Linked DNA regions of Caenorhabditis elegans. The protein of the gene in region 1 purifies or fractionates together with the protein of each later gene. This does not show direct contact. Each region holds a gene or a part of one and is shown on either strand. Other genes may lie near its edges. The genes, in order: rpoa-2, rpac-40 and F43C11.8.

Region 1 (8,099 bases):
TATGCGCTGTTTTGAAAACTTTCATCAAACTGCTCAAGAAATATTTATTAACACCATGAGCTGGGTCCGACGATCCATTATTCAAGAACAAATTCAATGTCTTTTTCCGCAACTGAAAATATTTAATATTTAAAACTGGAAAATATGTATGTTCTCCTAGATACAAACCTTCATCTCTTCGCGAAGAATTGGCATATTATCTAATTCTTCCAGCTCTCGATCCGTTTCGGGGGTGAAAAGAACAGCACTCAAGTCATCTTTCAGACCACTAACTAGCGCCAAGAGCATGGCAACGATGTCATCAATTTGCTCCAATACAATGTCTTCGTCTGGGCGATTTGTGAACTGATAAATTAATTTTTCAAAATAATCAAGGCATAACGAATAGTACCGCATGAATCATCTTGCCAAGTCCGGCAATCAGAGCACCTGACTCGTACGCCAGTGTCATAAACGATTTCAGACAATCTAGCCTCGCTTTCCATTCATAATTTATCGTCAGGCACCTCACGAGTTTTCCTGAAATTAACAAGAAAGTTTGAGACAAATCGTTGATGTTACTGACCCATATCAAAGAAGGGATCCAATGGTTTAGAACTTGGCGCAATGTCAATGTCTAACAGCCAGCGACGACGAAAAGCTCCACTTCTCATATATGCTCCGATTGTTTGATTCCAGCAGGAAGATGTCATTACCATGCGACTTAGAAGATTGTCTGAATAATTAATTCTACAAGTTAAATATATTTTACCACATACATGGTGTTCTTGTCAATATGTGGATGACGGCATCATAAGGTAGTTTACCGAAACTTCCATACGACGTCTCCACCTCAATCGACAATCTTGTAGTAAGCTTTGAACATACTTCTGGAATTAAAAATGTATGTTGGAGAATACTTGTGATTTTTTTACTGTGCTCATCGAGATGAAATGCTCGTTGATGATTAATAGCATCTGGCGATGAAAAAGGTAATCCATGTGTTTGCTGTGTTCTTCGTCTTTTACGAGAACATCGTTCCTCTGTGGCTGAATCTGTAAATGTAAACTCTGATTGAATGCGTTGAAGTGAAGAAGTACTACTTCTTTTTCTTAGAGACACTGAAGCATTGCGATGATTTTCTAGACTTTGTCTGGAAACTGGACTGTTTTGTGTTGTTCGATCAGCACTCCGCAAATTGTAAGTCCGCCTGGGTGTTGATTTATCCATTTTGGATTCTGAAAATGGCTTGATATTATCAAGTAATAGACCAGAAAGAACTTGACATTAAAAATATTTCACATAAATGATCAAAAACTAAAAAAACAAGAAAAAACAAAAAAAAATGAGGCAAAATATAGGTCACTCGCATTTAGGCGGGAATTCGAATTGATTTGAAATTTGAACACACCCCCACTACAGTACCCATAAAAGTCGTGGCGAGACCCATATGACAAAAGCAATGCGCCTTTAATTCGTTCTTTGGCTTCGATCGATTTTTCGGTTCTTTTCGAACTTTTCTTCACTTTCCTCTTTTTTAATCGATTATTTTGAAGCACTTGTTCATTTAAATTTTATTCCTTATAAATTAAACTGCTGCAGAAACTCAAAATCGTTTCCTTAACTTCATGGCTGTTAAAATCCGCCGTTATTTTCTGAATAATACGTTCGTTTAGTGGGCCGATAACTTCCTGCGGTTTTCTCATCGATTTGTTTGATTAAATTTTATTTGCAAGTTCATAATAAATGTATTTATAACCAATATTTGCGTTTTCGCGATTTTTTCGTATAATATGTCCCAATACTTATTTTGAGTTTGTTTCATGAAAGTTTTCGTATTCCTTTATCATTGGAGAAATAATCAAGTTCAGGCTGTTATCGTCTAGTTTTCATCTAACTCTTCATTTTTCTTTTCCCTCTCTTTTCCCCTCGAATTGTGGCCGAACTGAACAGTGGCTGTCGCTCCTTCTCTTCCATTTCTAATTTTTACTGCTCGCCAACCCCTAAATCTTTTATTTAATAATCAAATACATTTGAATATGTAGTTTTCATTTTATTATAACATTTGTATTAGTTCGAAAAATTATTCATTTAAACTTTCAAGTTTTCAGGCGATGGACTGCGACATAGCGTCGTATCATGTCGATTCATTCGATTTTCTTGTTTCAAAAGGATGTCAATTTGCTGCCCAAGCTGTTCCTGCAGAAAAATTCCGTCTGAAAAACGGCGATGCTGTTACAATGAAGTTCACGTCGGCTCAACTTCATAAGCCAACGCTAGATACCGGAGTAAGTATTTGATCTGCAATCTTAAATATTGAAAATTCTAAAAATCAATTTTCAGGCGAAGCTCACCAGTGACACTCTTCCTTTACTTCCCGCGGAATGTCGACAACGTGGACTGACATATGCTGGAAATTTAAAAGTTGGAATCGATGTCCATGTGAACGGAAGCCGGTTGGACATTATTGAAATTATTTTGGGAAAGGTAATTCTATAAATACTGCGTTGAAAGTAAGAATTGGGTCACCTTCCTTCGAAAAAGTTAAAAGTTAAGAAATAAAATACTTGTTTCGAGGTTAAATTTTCATTTTCTGAATTCTCCAAGCAAATATTAGAAAAAGAAAATACTATACAACAAAATATTTAGGTACCAATTATGCTCCGATCCGAAGGTTGCCATCTCCGTGGAATGTCTCGAAAGGAACTTGTAGTTGCCGGTGAAGAGCCAATCGAAAAAGGAGGATATTTCATTGTAAATGGATCAGAAAAAGTGATTAGATTGCTGATCGCGAATCGAAGAAACTTTCCAATCGCAATTATCAGAAAAACATTCAAAGAGAAAGGAAAATTGTTCTCGGAATTTGGAGTTATGATGAGAAGTGTTAAGGAAAATCATACGGCTGTAATGATGACTCTTCATTATTTGGACACTGGAACTATGCAGTTAGCACTTCAATTCAGACGGGAAATCTTTTATGTACCGTTGATGTATATTGTGAAGGCTTTAACTGATAAGAATGATGCAGTGATTAGTGCTGGATTCAAAAGAGGAAGAAATCAAGATCAATTCTATTCATCTTGCATTCTCAATATGCTTGCTCAATGTCAAGAAGAAGAAATTTTGAATCAAGAAGCCGCCATTAGAGCCATCGGTTCTCGTTTCAGAGTAGCCGTATCTGATAGAGTTGCTCCATGGGAAGATGATCTTGAAGCTGGTCGATTCATCATTCGGGAATGTGTACTTATACATTTGGATAGTGATGAAGAGAAATTCCATACTCTTGCGTACATGACACAGAAACTCATTGCACTTGTGAAAGGAGAATGTGCTCCAGAGACACCTGATAATCCACAATTCCAAGAGGCCTCTGTTTCAGGACATATTCTTTTGTTGATTCTGAGAGAACGAATGGAGAATATCATTGGAATGGTTAGGAGAAAATTGGAGTACATGAGTTCAAGGAAGGACTTCATTTTGACATCGTAAGTTCATTTACCAAAAATGTCCTAGAACTACCGATTTTTTAAAAATTAAGCATTCTGAAAATTTCTCAAAGAAGAATAGGCTATAATCTCAAATTTTGCCAATTTGTTAAAGTTGCCAAAGTACATTTTTATTTGATTATCACTCTTTAATGCATAATTTGGTAATTTATTATGTATTGTTCCGTTGTTTCGGAAGCTTTCTAACTGTAAGTCGACAATTTTGTGCACCCTTAGACGCACCTAAATCTACGTAAATGTACCTAATTCAATGAAACGACGACCAACATATGTATTAAAATATTTATTTGGTAGTTTTGGGTCATAAAAAAGAGCAAAGTCTCAGATTTCGGAGCTCTAACTTTTAAATCTTCCGTTTGGCATAAACATTCTAACTTTCAGCGCCGCTATTCTAAAAGCACTTGGAAATCATACTGGTGGTGAAATCACTCGTGGAATGGCATATTTCCTTGCAACAGGAAATCTTGTGACTCGTGTCGGTCTTGCTCTTCAACAAGAATCTGGTTTCTCAGTTATCGCTGAAAGAATCAATCAACTTCGTTTCGTTTCTCACTTCCGTGCAATTCATCGTGGTGCATTCTTTATGGAAATGCGAACCACAGATGTTAGAAAATTGAGACCAGAAGCATGGGGATTTATTTGTCCTGTACACACTCCTGATGGAGCTCCATGTGGTTTATTGAATCACGTAACTGCATCATGTAGAATTGTCACTGATCTCTCTGATAATTCAAATGTTCCGTCGCTTCTTGCTGAATTGGGAATGTATACACACAAAACTGTTGCATTGGCACCGCCAGGTGAAGAGGTAAAACAATTTATTAAAGTATAAAGCATATTTTAAAAATTTCCTTATATGAAAATAACACTTATTTCAGTTGAAATATTTGAAAAGGGCTCAGAAATAGCCTGGAAGTTGCAAATTGCAGAAAAACGAAGCTCGATAATTGGCAATCTGCAATTTCCAGGCAATTTTTAAGCTTTAAATGAAATAACCTTTAATAACTCTATTTTCAAATTTAAATCATAATTTACAGCTTTATCCAGTTCTAATGAATGGAAGATTCCTTGGATATGTTCCAATTACTAAAGCTGCTTCAATTGAGAGATATCTACGATGTGCAAAAGTTGCGAAAGATGCAAGAATTCCTTATACTTCGGAGGTACTGTTTTTCTAAACTATTTTGAAGAATGAATTATATTTTCTTTTTTTTTCAGATTGCACTTGTTCGTCGATCCACGGATATCAAGAATATTCAAACTCAATATCCAGGAATCTACATTCTCAGTGACGCTGGACGTCTCATTCGTCCAGTACGTAATCTAGCAATGGATGCTGTTGAACATATCGGAACTTTTGAACAAGTTTATCTCTCAGTTGTACTTGATCCAGAAGAGGCTGAACCAGGAGTCACTATGCATCAAGAATTGCATCCTTCTTGCTTATTTTCATTTGCTGGAAATTTAATTCCTTTCCCAGATCATAATCAGTCACCACGGTAAGTTTTCGTTAGAGTTTCCAGTTGTAGTAGTGGAGATTTAGTCTAAAAATATGACTTCAAAAAATTAGATTATTTTTAAATTTGCAAAATTTCTAAAAATTGGGACTTTTGAATCTTGATAGGTGAAAATTGAGTTTTCATCACTTTTTGACTTTAAATAAAAATAATTAAACGTTTTTCCAGTAATGTGTACCAATGTCAAATGGGTAAACAAACGATGGGAACCGCCGTACATGCATGGCATTCACGTGCTGACAACAAAATGTATCGTCTACAATTTCCACAACAACCAATGCTAAAACTGGAGGCTTATGAGAAATACGAAATGGATGAATATCCATTGGGTACAAATGCTTGTGTTGCTGTGATCTCCTATACAGGATATGATATGGAAGATGCTATGACAATCAATAAAGCATCATATCAAAGAGGTTTTGCACATGGAACAGTTATCAAAGTGGAGAGAATTAATTTGGTGACCGAGAGAGAACGAAAAACGATTTTCTATAGAAATCCCCGAGAAGAAATCAAAACCGTTGGACCAGATGGTTTGCCGATTCCAGGAAGACGATATTTCCTCGATGAAGTGTATTATGTCACATTCAATATGGAAACTGGAGATTTCAGAACTCATAAATTCCATTACGCTGAACCGGCATATTGTGGTTTGGTGAGAATTGTTGAACAAGGAGAAGGCGATTCTGGTGCAAAACATGCTTTGATTCAATGGAGAATTGAGAGAAATCCAATTATCGGTGATAAATTCGCTTCGAGACACGGACAAAAAGGAATTAATTCATTCCTATGGCCTGTTGAATCACTTCCATTCTCAGAAACCGGTATGGTACCTGATATTATTTTCAATCCTCACGGTTTCCCATCTCGGATGACAATCGGTATGATGATTGAGAGTATGGCTGGAAAAGCGGCAGCTACGCACGGAGAGAATTATGATGCATCGCCATTTGTTTTCAAGTAAGTTATTCACTGTTTGAAAATTTGAAAATAATTCTAAATCTCTAAAATTATTTTTCAAAATTAATTTTAAAAAATGGGCCGACTAATTTTTGAATTCCCGTGCAAATAAATATCAAATTGAAACACGGCTTGTCAATTTTTCTGACTTTTCCGTTAAAATAAATAATACATTCTTGTGGAAGTATCGATTTTTGGGCCAACTGTTTTTCAGATTCGACGAAGTTTTCTTTACGGAGAATGTCCTGAAAAATAGACTAACAGTGTTTAAAATTATATATTAAAAATAAAAACTGATCAATTTAACCAGTACCTTCAGTTTCGCGGAAATTCGAAAATAATTATTTTTTTGCAAAATAGAAAAATTTAAAAAAATTAGAAAAGTTTTTAACAGTTACAGTTACGTTTTTTCGATTCTTTTTCCATTTAACAATGTTTTGATTTTTCAGTGAAGACAACACAGCAATCAACCATTTTGGAGAATTACTCACAAAAGCAGGTTATAATTACTACGGTAACGAAACATTTTATTCGGGAGTTGATGGACGTCAAATGGAGGTTTATATTAGAATTTATCGTTTGAAAAATTAACATTTTTCATAATTACAGATGCAAATCTTCTTTGGAATTGTTTATTATCAAAGACTTCGTCATATGATTGCTGATAAATTCCAAGTGAGAGCCACTGGACCAATTGATCCAATTACTCATCAACCAGTAAAAGGAAGAAAAAAGGGAGGAGGTATTCGATTTGGAGAAATGGAAAGAGATGCTATTATTGCACATGGAACATCTTTCGTGTTGCAGGTACTTTTATTTCTATGTTTAAAAATAACACCGAAAATTTTTTAGATTTTTCTGTTTTTTTCAGGGAAAAAAACTGAAAAATCGGAAAAAAATGTTCAGAAAACTAAAAAAAAAGTTAATCTTAAAAGAAGAAAATTGGTCAAAGTTTACATCTGTTTTTTTTTTGAAAAATCGAAGTTTTGAACAAAATTGGAAAACTAGTAGTTTTCGATTTTTCAATACTCAAAAAAATCGAAAAAGCGACAACACTAACTTCATTGTACTGATATTTTAATTTCCAGGACCGTCTTCTCAACTGTTCGGATCGTGACGTAGCATACGCTTGTCGTCGTTGTGGATCCCTATTGTCCGTGTTGATGTCCAGTCGTGCAGGATCACATTTATTGAAAAAGAAAAGGAAAGACGACGAACCATTGGACTACACGGAAACTCAACGATGTCGTACGTGTGATAAAGATGATCAAGTTTTCCTGCTTCAAGTTCCTCGTGTCTTCCGTTATTTGACTGCCGAGTTAGCTGCAATGAATGTGAAAATCAAGTTGGGCATCGAACATCCATCCAAAGTAACTGGAAGTTAATTTCATTATTTTTTCAACATTTCCTTCATAATAGAAATACTGAAAACTTCATGCAGTTCTCTAAACTTTGATTTTTAAAAAATTTCTTTTACACTACACTTTAATATTCTCCGTCCCCTATCCTACAACAATCTCACGGTTTTTGTCTATTTTTTGTTATTTTCTCTTTGCAAGTTGTTTTATTGTTGAACCTTTTCTGAAATTTTTGATTTTTAGCCGATTTTAGCAATTTTTGTTACTTTTTTGTTTACCCTCATCCAATTTATTCTGTTTCTATTGTTCACTTTTTGTTTTGTTTTTTGTTTGAGTTTTTGTTCCTCAATATTCCATAAAGTTGTTGTTATACATTTTATATGTTTAAGTAAATCACATTAAGCACTCTGCAACCTTCCCCTCTCTCCACACACTTCTTTGATTTTTTTTGCTAAATTTCCGTTTTTCCGCGCACTGCCTCTTTTTCCACTCTCTCTTTGCTCTTGCTCTGTGCTCTTTCTGCTCCAATAAGCCCCTGGCGGCCATGTTCCCATTTTCCCCGCGCTCCCCCATACCTCTGTGCCTTTCTTTTTCATTTTTTTTTCGTGGGTGAAAACTTCCTAGGTTATGACGTGGCATGTTCAAGGAGCATCGAGAGCTTTTTTTCTGTTTTTATTTTGCGGCAGAAACGTGGAACGGCACGTTTTTGATGTGTAAAAATCATGTCAGCATTTTTTTGAGAACAAAACGGCGATGGAAAAGCGAAAAACGTGTAATTC
Region 2 (6,819 bases), on another chromosome or scaffold:
ATCGATTGCTGCGAGGGTGAGATTTTAGCTTATTTTTAGCTAAAAATCTCCAATTTTGGCCTACTTTTTGGGGTCGTAGTGGTCGGAAATCGACTATTATATATATATATATATGTTCGAATTTTTTTTTCTTTTTGGGAGAAAATGTTTAAAAAATTGGCAGACTTTTTTGTCGACAAATTCGGCAAGTCGGCAAGTTGCCGGTTTGCCGATTTGCCGGAAATTTTAAATTCTCGAAAATTGCCGGATTCCAATTTGCCGCAAGTTTTTACAGGGATTTTTCTTAACCTCTGAAATTTCCAAAAATGTGCAAAACCACAATTTGCCGAAAATTTTCGGCAATTGCCGTGTTTCAGGCGAATTCGTCAAATCGACAATTTGTCGGTTTGCCATTTTTCCTGAAATTTTAAATTCAGCAAAATTGCCGATTTGCCGGAAATTTCAATTCCGGCAATTTGCCGATTTGCCGGAAATTTTCAATTCCGGAAGTTTGCCGATTTGCCGGAAATTTTCAATTCCGGCAATTTGCCGATTTGCCAGAAATTTTCAATTCCGGCAATTTGCTGATTTGCCGGAAATTTTCAATTCCGGAAGTTTGCCGATTTGCCGGAAATTTTCAATTCCGGAAATTTGCCGATTTGTCGATTTGCCGGAAATTTTCAATAACGGCAATTTGTCAATTTACCGGATATTTCAATTCCGGCAAATTGCTGATTTTCCTGAAATTTTCAATTCCGGCAAATTGCCGATTTGCCGAAAATTTTCAATTCCTGATTTAAGATTTTAGCTAAAATTCGTCAAATTAAAGTAAAAAAAACCAAAAAAAAAAAACGTTTTTTTTTCAGATTTTCCCAGTACTTCACATTGAGCGCTGGGCTTTTGACGTTGAGCTCATCTTCCTTTGCGAAAGATGGACGGTCCCTGTGAAAGAAGTTTCAGTTCGATGGACTGAAATCGAAGGGTCTAAGATTACTCCAATTTGGTCTTGGCTTCAAATGGGCCGAGATCTTGTGCTCATTTGGTTCAGATATACGGTAAAATTGCAGTTTTTTAGGCCTTTTTTGAAGTGGTGTCAGGATGTCCCATCGCTCTACTGCACACGAAAATGGCGGGAAAATATTTTTTTTTTAATTTGTGACGTCACAGCGTATCTTGAATAATTTTCTTAATTTTAAGCGCCGATTTTTGTCAAACTTAAAAAAAAAATAAATAAATAATATCTTTCTCATTTTAATTTATAAAATTTGATATTTTACCAAAATTCTTAAAATTTAGTGGAAAAATTGAAGCAAAATACACAATAAAAATGAATAATTTCAATTGAAACGAATTTTTTTTTTCGAAAAACCATTTAAACCGTTCATTTACCAAGTTTCCGTGAATTTTTTAAAAATGATTTTCCAAATAAATTTTTGTTTAAATTGAAATTATTCATTTTTATTGTATTTTGCTTCAATTTCTCCACTAAATTTTAGAATTTTTGTAAAATATCAAATTTTATAAATTAAAATGAGCCAGTTTTTAAAAAAATTTCACGAAAATCGGCGCTTAAATTGAACAAAAGCAATTATTCAAAATGCGCTGTGTGACGTCACAAATTTTCAAAAAATATTTTCCCGCCATTTTCGTGTGCGGTAGAGCGACCTGACAATATTTTTGACATTAAAATTTTATTTTCAGATCGGAATTTGGACGGATGACCAGCCTCGCTAAATGCTCCACAAAAAATCGATACGAGATTTTCAAAAAATCTTGCCCAAAAATTTCCTTTTTCTTCTAGTAATATCTATGCTTTAATCACTTTTTTTCCCTGCTTTTTCCTGATTTTTTTTCCAATTTATGGCTGGTTGTAAATATCCATGATTCCTTGAAAATGTGATTCTATTCTTTTTTCTTTTCGCATTTTTATTATTTATTTATTTACTTGTTGGTTTTTCTTTTTTTTCTCTCTTGTTCTGGGGACTCTGGGTTTATTTTTAATGCTAAATTCAAAAAAATATCGATTTAAATGTTTTTTTCCATTTTTTTGTTTTTTTTTTCGTTTTCCCAGCGATTTTATATCTTTCCATAGAGTTTTCAGGCGAAAAAAATCAAAAAATTTCCAGGCAAAAATGGTCAAAAAAGCGGCGGCAACTAGCAAGCAGGCTACCTATCACAGTGATGAGATCGAGATGAAAGAGGAAGTTGTGCTCAATGTAGGATTTTTTGAATATTTCAAGGATGCAATCGCGCTCCATTGGGAAACGAGAGCGCTCCGCCCCCAAACGTTGGGTCTCGTTAGGAAATCAGGCGGCAAAAGCATTTTCCGTATTTTTTTAAAATTTCGTCCAGAAAAATTTTAAAAAATTCCAATTTTTTATTGAAAATCGTTATTTTTCCGAAAAAAATTGTTATACAAATTTACGAAAAAAGGCGGCGATTTATCAACTGCCGGAAATTAGTGAAAGATTACTTTTTTTCAAAAAAAATTGAAAAAATTTAAAATTGTGAGATAAACCAAGAAAAAATTAACTTTCGATTTTTTCAACTTTTTGGAAAAAAAAAACACAAACCAAAGAAAAAATGAACAAAAAAAAAGCGGATTGCGTGTATTTTTCACCACGCGTAACGTCGTTGTCGCGATGTCCTCCGGACCGAAGAGCAAGAAGCTAAAAACGCCCACGCTTGAACAGCAAATCGAAGATGGAGTCAATGCTTATATTCACTCGCAGCAGTTTGAGTTCAACTCTCCACCACGGGAAAATTTTTTTGCCAATTTTTTCGTCTCAAAAAAAAAAGGAAAAAAAAACCAAAAAACCGACATTTCTGGTCAATATTTTTTTTTGTTTTTTTTTTTTGAAGAAATTCGATTTTTTGCTTTTCGGCCGAAATTTTTATTTTTTTAAATTTTCCAAAAATTCTTCTTCAATTCCAGACCTACGACGAATGCACCGATTATGTCGAATACGACGATACAAAACAATTCGATATCAACGAGTATTGCGATCAAATCCAAGTGGCAATGGTCAATGAATCCGACGATGGAATGACATTGGAATTTGATATTACTCGCATTGAAGCTCCAATTGCAAATGCTCTTCGCCGTGTGCTCATCGCCGAAGTGCCAACGATGGCTCTCGAGAAGATTTATCTCTATCAGAATACTTCTGTAATTCAAGATGAAGTACTCTGCCATCGTTTGGGTCTTCTGCCGCTTCGTGTGGATCCACGTGGATTTCAGTTTCCAAAGGAAAAAGTCGTTGGAATCAATGAGAAGGGAGTGGATTGTGACGAGGAGCCCGAGGGAGATCCCGCGAAAAATTTGATCTTCAAGATTAATGTTTCGTGTACGAAGAATCGAAATGCGGTGCCGACGGCTACCGATCCGAAGCAGCTTTATCACAATAGCTCGGTCTACTCACGTGCTTTTGAATGGGTACCGATTGCTGATCAGAAGACGCAATTCACCGAAGAAGCCCATCCACGTATGGTTTCTGATGATATTCTCGTTGCCAAGCTTCGTCCTGGACAGGAAATTGAAGCCAGTTGCCATGCGGTCAAGGGAATCGGACGGGATCATGCAAAGTTCTCACCGGTTGCTACTGCGTCCTATAGGTGTGAATTTTGAAGCTGCTGAAATATTTTCTTTTGATTTTTGCGGTTTTCCGGAAAATTGAAAATTTTTCGTTTTTCGATTTTCTCGGAAAAAGTGAAAAATTGGGGGGAAAAAAATTATAATTCATATAATATATTTTCGGTTTTACGGGACCCCAAATTCTGAGAATGCGTATTACACAAAATTTTTGACGCGCAAAATATCTCGTAGCGAAAACTACAGTAATTCTTTAAATGACTACTGTAGCTTTTAAAGAGTTACTGTAGTTTTCGCTACGAGATATTTTGGGGAAGTTAAATAATTTTTGTACATCTACCTATATTCAGTATATTTAGACTGTTTTCTGTAATTTTGTGGAAAAAAAAGTTCGAAAATTTCAAGCCAGAGGTGAATTTTTTTGTCGACAAATTTGACAAATTGCCAATTTTTTTTTATTTTCGGCAATTTTCATTTTCGGCGATTTGCCGGAAATTTTCATTTTCGGCGATTTGCTGGAAATTTTCATTTTCAGCAATTTGCCGATTTGTCGATTTGCCGGAAATTTTCATTTTCGGCGATTTGCTGGAAATTTTCATTTTCAGCAATTTGCCGATTTGTCGATTTGCCGGAAATTTTCATTTTCGGCGATTTGCTGGAAATTTTCATTTTCAGCAATTTGCCGATTTGTCGATTTGCCGGAAATTTTCTTTTTCGGCAATTTGCCAGTTTGACGATTTGCCGGAAACTTCGATTTCGGTTAATTGCCGGTTTACCGATTTGCCGGAATTTTCATTTTCTGCAATTTGCCGGTTTACCGATTTGCCGGAATTTTCATTTTTGACAAATTGACGATTTGCCGGTTTGCCGGAAATTTTCATAGAATTTGCCTACTTTTCAAAATACATGTAGGAACATTTATAGGATGCGTACAATTTAGCCGATTGAAATTGAAAATCTGAAATTTCCAAAAAAAATGTGCAAAAACACAATTTGCCGGTTTGCCGGTTTGCCAATTTGACCTTCAAATTCTTCCAATTTTTCAAAAAATTTCTTTTCATTCCAGACTGCTTCCAACGATCCGCTTGAACGCCGAAATTTCGGGTGAAGCTGCCGAACGTCTCAAATCAGTATTCAGCGAGGGAGTTATTGCTATCGAGAAGAAAGGAGGTAGATCATAAATCAATTTTTAGGAAACACACCAATTTTTTTAAAATTTCAGCCAAACGAATTGCTGTTGTCAAGGATGCTCGCAAGGATACGTGCAGTCGTAACGTGTTCCGCCACGAAGATCTGTCGAAAGTTGTTCAATTGGGAAAGAACAAACAGCATTTCATTTGTTAGTGGCAGGGCTGAATTCGAAAAAAAAAACTGAAATTCATGAATTTTTCGCATTTTTTTGGTTTTTTTTCCAAAAAAAAATACACGAAAAGTTGTCGAAAAACAAACCCCAATTTTGTTAAAGTTTGAAACCTTATTTTGAAAATTTTAAATATTTTTGCCAAATTTTAACTCTTTTTTTTAATTTTGAGAGTGGTTTTTTTGGAAAATGTATAAGTAATTTTTTTTGGAGCCGGAGTTTTTATATATTTTTTTTCGCTTTTTTTTTCGAAAAAAAAAGAATTTTCGCCAGAAACATGGTACAGACGTGCCGTTTTTCGATTTTTTTTTTGAAAAAATTTTTAAAACGAAAAGTTGAAAAATTGGAAATTGGGAAAAGAAAATTTTTGAGTTTTCGAACTTAAAAAAAACGAAAAAATTTTTAAAAAAAATGTTCAGAAAATTAAAATTGAGCAGAAACTGGGGAAAATTCGAAAAATTCTGAAAAATTCACAAAAAAAACCCATTTTTTCGAACTTTTTTCCGATAAAATTACAAAAATCCTAAATTTTCTACTTTTCAAGGGCCCGAATTTTTGTGGAAAATTAGTAAAAATCGGTTAAAATTAACCATTAAATATGATTTTTTCTAATGGGGTTATTCAAGTAATGTAGCAATTTTTTTTTTTTTTCGCAAAAATTTTTTTACACTTTTTAATTTTCCGACACTACTTGAATAACCCCATAAATCAATTTTATCGAAACTGATGAGAAAAAAAAATTTAACGAAAAAAAAACACAAAATTTCGTCGTCAGAAATTTTTCGATTTTTCCCAAGTTTTCTAATTTTTTTGGTTGAGAAAGTCGATTTTTTTTAAATATAAAAAAAAAACCGAAAAAAACGTAGGAAAAAAGAGGGAAAAACTATAAACTTATTTAAAAATAAATTATATTTCAATGAGAAAAATGAAAATTTCTTCAAAAATACAAAAAAAAACCAAAAAACCATTTAAAAAAATTGCCAAAATTTCAAATTTCTTTTTTTTTAAACTGAAAAAAAAACACACAAAAAATTTTTCACAATTTTTACCGGCAAATTCGGCAAATTGGCAATTTGCCGGTTTGCCGATTTGCCGGAAATTTTGAATTCCGGCAATTTTAGTTTTTTTTTCAGTCAGTGTAGAGTCGACTGGAGCTCTGAAATCGTCTGAATTGGTGGTTGAAGCCTGTAAAGTCATGGAAATCAAGTGTCGTTCTCTTCGCAAACAAATCGAGGCTCTTATTCAATAATCCCCGTTTTTTTGAAATTTTGTTACTATTTTTTTATTCGTTATCCTTTTTTTTTGTTGTTGTTTGACTACCCCTCAAGTTGTTACACTGTTCCGTCACTTTCTTTTTTCTTAATTTGAATGAATTTTCGTGGCTTTTTTACCTTCAAATATCTCCTAGTTGGCCAAATGGTTGAAATTTCCATTTTTTATTTGTTTTTTTTGTAGTTTTTTAACAGGTTCATAGAAAAATCATTCATTTTTTCGGTTTTTTCAGAAAAAAATTATTAAAAAATGGAAAAACTCCAAAATTTTGAGCTATTTTCTCAAAATATTGGAAAACGAATTCTTTTCGATTTTCAGAAAAATTAGAAACAAAACTTTAAAAATCATCAATTTTTGTCTATCCTGATGAAAAAATATAATTTTCTTCAAAAAATTAAAAAAAAAAACCAAAATTTGAATAAAAAATTGTAAAACTAACATTTTCGGTTTTCCGGAAAATCGAAAAAGCGAAAAATCTTTTCTTTGCAGAAAAAAAGAAAAATCAATTTTGTTCTAAAAAATATCCTTTTTCGAAATACTGGAAAAACGGGGCAGTTTTCGAATTTTTTTCAGAAAATTGAAAAAAAAACGATTGTTTTTAGAAAACTAGCAAAAA
Region 3 (4,232 bases), on another chromosome or scaffold:
TTGAAAACTTTTGGCAAATAGGCAAATCGGCAAATTGCTGCACTTGAAAATTTCCGGCAAATCGGCAAATCGGCAAATTGCCGGAATTTAAAACTAACTTACCAGTTTGCCGAATTTGCCGGAAAAACGGCAACTGTGGAACATTTTTTGCCAAATTGTGGTCTTGCACATTTTTTTGGAAGTTTCAGAATTTCAATTTTAATCGGTAAAATTGTACGCATCCTATGAATCTTCTTATATCTATTTTGAAATTGCCAAAATTGAAAATTTCCGGCAAATTGACGCAGTTGAAAATGTCTTCAAATCGGCAAACCGGAAAATTGCCGGAATTAAAAAATACCGATGAATTGGCAAACCAGCAAAATGCCGAAATTGATAATTTTCGGCAAATCGACAAACCGGCAAATTGCTGAAATTAAAAATTTCCGGCAATCGGCAAATTGCCAAAATTGAAAATCTCCAGCAAATTGCCGCATTTGAAAATTTCCGGCAAATCAGCAAACCGGCAAATTTGCCGATTTGCCGAATTTGTAGAAAAAAAACTCTGAAAAAGATTGGCCCATGTCTGTTCGCTTTTGAAGCGCAACAAAATCATCAATCACATTTTTATTTATGTACAAACATTTTCAATTAAATATCCTATAAAACCGTCGTTGGCATCAATCAGAGCAGCTAGCAGGTTGTCTGAAAAAAAAAACTTTTATATAAAAATTCATATTTCTCTCGTTAGCTTACCTCCTAGCCCTGCAAAATTCTTCAAACTCGCGAGACAAATTGTTGTCAATTCTAGAAACTTTCGTGACTTCTGAAAAATCCAATTTTTCCAATCAATATTTTTTCAAAGACCTACGTATGACAAGCCTATCCATCTCTGGAAAAATCAGTGCTGCGTCAAAAACTTCAGGCTCAACATCAGCAAATTCAGTCCAGAGCTCATTCTCGCTGCTCACTTCCAGCGCAGAATTCACCGCGAGCAAATCTGCATTGCTCATTTTCATAAACAGCTTCAGCTCCGCACTTTTTCGCTTTTGCCGGTTCAAGGATTCCGATAGCTCTGCGATGAGCAGGTCGTTCGTGAAAAAGTTAGTTTCCGCGATGTTCTGAAGCGTCGCAAGAGCATCGTTTTCGAGAGCATCCAAGGTTTCTCGTATTGAAGCGTAGAAGGCTATTATCGAAACCTTTTTCTCTTGAAATACCTCCCCATCGTCGAGATTTGTTAGCTGAGCTGTTCCGATCTTTTCGATATTCGCATCAATTTTACTTGCCAGGTCTTCGGATCTTGAAAGCTTCCCGCTCAGAAACTGTCTCAACTTTGCCGCTTCTGATTGTAGTAGGCCTCGATTGTGTCCGGCGTGAGCTCCAAACTCTTCGCAGGTACGGCACATGAGCTTATCGCTAGATGAGCAGGTGGGCTCCTGGAAAGAATGCTAGTTTCTCAGGCAAGAAGAGGTGCATTTGGCTCTAGCTTCTGGCCCAAGTTTGGCGCAAAAAATAATAACTTGTTTCAGACGTTGAGCAAAAGTTGGGCAAAACTTGGATTCAAACTCCACCAAAGTTTAAAAAAAGGTTCAACCAACTCTGCCAAACTTCTACATAAGTTTGAAACGAAATAAGAGAAGTTTGGGCCAAACCTTTGGTGCAGCCTGAATCCGAGTTTTGCCAAAGTTTTGCCCAAGTTTAGCAAACTTCTGATCCAAGCTAATATTTTTTGGGCAAAACTTGGCCAAGAATTTATAGCCAAATGCCGAGCTTGACCACAAAAGTTGAGCAAAATCTAGGCCAAGACTTTGGCCTGAACTAGGCTCCCACGTACCATTATTTTTTGGCTATTAACCTCGCACTCTCAGAAACCGGCGAGTTGTCGGCTGCTAATAGTAAGTTTTTTAAAAAATTTTTTACAGTTGACATTTTGGGGCCTATCAAAACCTATAAAGAACTCACAATGCACACAAATTCCGCAAAATTGTACTGGTGAGAAGCGCATTTTGGCGGTGAATCAATGGGATCTTTCTGAAAAATTTTATATTTGTATATAAATATATATATGTATATATAAATATATATATGTATATATATATATATATATATTTATATGTATAACTTTATTTCTAGAAAAAAAAACCTCTTCAGTTCTAGTCTTAGCGTGTTCAACTGCCTGTAACAATGCAAAATTCTTCTGCAAATCCTTCACTGTACTGACATTAGTTGCTTCCCGGCAGAATGGACATAAAATCATAGAGTTTTGGAGCAATTTTTCTGCACAACCATGGCAAATTGTGTGGCCACATCCTGAATTTTTATTTTTTAATTTTAGGAAAGGTAGCAAAAGCTTACTCAAAATCCTAGGAATATTTTCATCGGTGGCACTTGAGAAATCTTCGTTGCAAATTTCACACTCAATAAATGACATTTCGGAACTGTACGGAGGGTTGGAAAAATAAACGAATGGTCTTGGGAGTTCTCCCGCTGACACTGCGATAAGACGATAACAATTTGGTGACCAAGAATACACGGAAACCGGTAAATATTTTTTGCTGACTCATATCAGTTTAGATACACCATTTTCAACACTATTGCTAATTCTATGTGGTCAGTTACTACGGATTTCGTAATAGTTTTTCGTAAAATAAAACGTTTTCAGAGCCTGGCGCCTGCCTGAAACCTGCCGAGCACCTATAGCACTGTTTGTACGGGAGCGGGCTTATTTTAGAAAAATCGAAAAATCGAAAATTTTCGTTTTTTTTTTTGATTTTTCGAAATTTTTTTCTCTTATCAATAGAAAAAAAATTAGATAAAAATCGTATTTTATGATTAATTTTTAGATCATTTTTTTTTTCGATTTTTGGATTTTCCGGAAAATCGAAAAAACGTAAATTTTTGTTTTCCGATTTTCAAGTTTTCGAGACTTAGGCTTAGGCTTATGCTTAGGCTTTGATTTAGGCTTAGCCTTTGGCTTAGGATGAAGCTTAGGCTTAGACTTAAGCTTAAATGTAGGCTAGGCGGAGAAAAAAGAGATAAAAAATAAATCCTAGAAAATATGAGAACTCAGAAAAATAAAATACCAAAAAATTAGACATTTCAAAAATTTATATTGCCCGAAAAGGGCCAAAAAAATCAGGATTGGAGAGTTGAATTTTCGGTTGTTTATCGGTATTTGTACAAAGTAAAAAATGATTGAAAACTTTAAAACCAAAAAACTGCCTTGTTTGGAACATTCAAAGCCACAGGGTTATATTCTGAAATTCATGTACCTATAATACAAATGCTAAATTATCATTAAAACCTACATCTGGCTCCAGAGAGCTTGACATTGAAGCATTTGCCACATCTACAAAACTTCCTGACATTGATCTACCAACTTCCTTCCAAATCCACTTACCCACAGCTAACCTGTTCACTTCTGGAAAATTTAATGCTACATCAAACTGAATAGGCTCAACTTCTGTATTTTCCGAGTCATCCCAGAGCTGAATTTCTGAATTTAGAGCTAACAAATCCGCGTTGCTCATTCCCAGAAACGACTTTAATTTCTCGTTTTTCAATTTCTGGGTTTCCAGGGATTCCGACAATTCTTCTAGTAGTAATTTATTGCTAGCTGAATTGGATTCTGCAATTTCGCGTAGTTTTTGATTTGCAAGGGCTTCCTGGGCATCTAAGGTCTCTCGTATTGAGGTATAGTAGACGGATATCTGAAAATGTTCTGGAATTGTATTTCGTCCCCGTTTCAAAAAAAAATCACTAACCAAATCTTTTTTATCTTGAAACACCTTCCCATCTACTTGATTTGTTTGCTGGGCGCTGAAATTTCAGCGAGCTAAAATTGTGATCTACCGCTTTTTAAACTAACCTGTCAACCTCTTCAATGTTCTTGTCAATTTGAACAATCTGATCTTCGGACTTTAAAAGCTTATCTTTGAGCAACGTTCTCAATTTCAAAGCTTCCGTCTGTAGGAGGCCCTTCGAGTGTCCGGCGTGAACTCCAAACTCCTCGCAAGTTCGGCACATTAGCTTTTCGTCGGAGGAGCAGTTGGGGTCCTGGAAGGAGAATTAAGGAAGGTTCTCGAAGATTCCAGAATTTTTCTTAAATTTCCCAGAAGGTTCTAGATCATTCTAGAGTTTTTTTGAAAATTGCTAGAAGGTTCTAGAACATTCCAAAATTTTCTAAAATTTTCCAGAATGATCTAGAGCATTACAGAATTTTCTCGAATTTTCCAGAAGGTTCTAGAACATTC

What was found.
Region 2: the proteins of rpoa-2 (region 1) and rpac-40 fractionate together in Caenorhabditis elegans (co-fractionation; one large-scale study listed by BioGRID). This does not show direct contact.
Region 3: the proteins of rpoa-2 (region 1) and F43C11.8 fractionate together in Caenorhabditis elegans (co-fractionation; one large-scale study listed by BioGRID). This does not show direct contact.

What each region holds. Positions count from the first base shown.
Region 1 is NC_003279.8:9,280,557-9,288,655, reverse strand, and holds rpoa-2 (DNA-directed RNA polymerase I subunit RPA2 homolog), read left to right. Parts: upstream 1-2,079; 5' UTR 2,080-2,093; coding exon 2,094-2,267; intron 2,268-2,322; coding exon 2,323-2,466; intron 2,467-2,628; coding exon 2,629-3,464; intron 3,465-3,866; coding exon 3,867-4,293; intron 4,294-4,522; coding exon 4,523-4,648; intron 4,649-4,703; coding exon 4,704-4,984; intron 4,985-5,170; coding exon 5,171-5,962; intron 5,963-6,411; coding exon 6,412-6,520; intron 6,521-6,571; coding exon 6,572-6,769; intron 6,770-7,050; coding exon 7,051-7,347; 3' UTR 7,348-7,733; downstream 7,734-8,099. Other genes in the region: prom-1 (FBXO47 ARM repeats region domain-containing protein), read right to left, coding at 1-112, 169-345, 392-519, 566-715, 759-869, 915-1,034, 1,083-1,209. UniProt on the Caenorhabditis elegans protein: DNA-dependent RNA polymerase catalyzes the transcription of DNA into RNA using the four ribonucleoside triphosphates as substrates. Second largest core component of RNA polymerase I which synthesizes ribosomal RNA precursors.
Region 2 is NC_003283.11:4,197,380-4,204,198, forward strand, and holds rpac-40 (DNA-directed RNA polymerases I and III subunit RPAC1), read left to right. Parts: upstream 1-2,105; 5' UTR 2,106-2,111; coding exon 2,112-2,195; intron 2,196-2,914; coding exon 2,915-3,594; intron 3,595-4,637; coding exon 4,638-4,741; intron 4,742-4,793; coding exon 4,794-4,910; intron 4,911-6,064; coding exon 6,065-6,180; 3' UTR 6,181-6,317; downstream 6,318-6,819. Other genes in the region: algn-5 (dolichyl-phosphate beta-glucosyltransferase), read left to right, coding at 1-16, 846-1,034, 1,681-1,713.
Region 3 is NC_003280.10:2,330,698-2,334,929, reverse strand, and holds F43C11.8 (RING-type domain-containing protein), read right to left. Parts: upstream 2,411-4,232; coding exon 2,335-2,410; intron 2,290-2,334; coding exon 2,123-2,289; intron 2,011-2,122; coding exon 1,942-2,010; intron 1,416-1,941; coding exon 851-1,415; intron 806-850; coding exon 736-805; intron 685-735; coding exon 660-684; 3' UTR 592-659; downstream 1-591. Other genes in the region: ZK1240.1 (RING-type domain-containing protein), read right to left, coding at 3,216-3,236, 3,288-3,328, 3,380-3,689, 3,744-3,798, 3,848-4,035.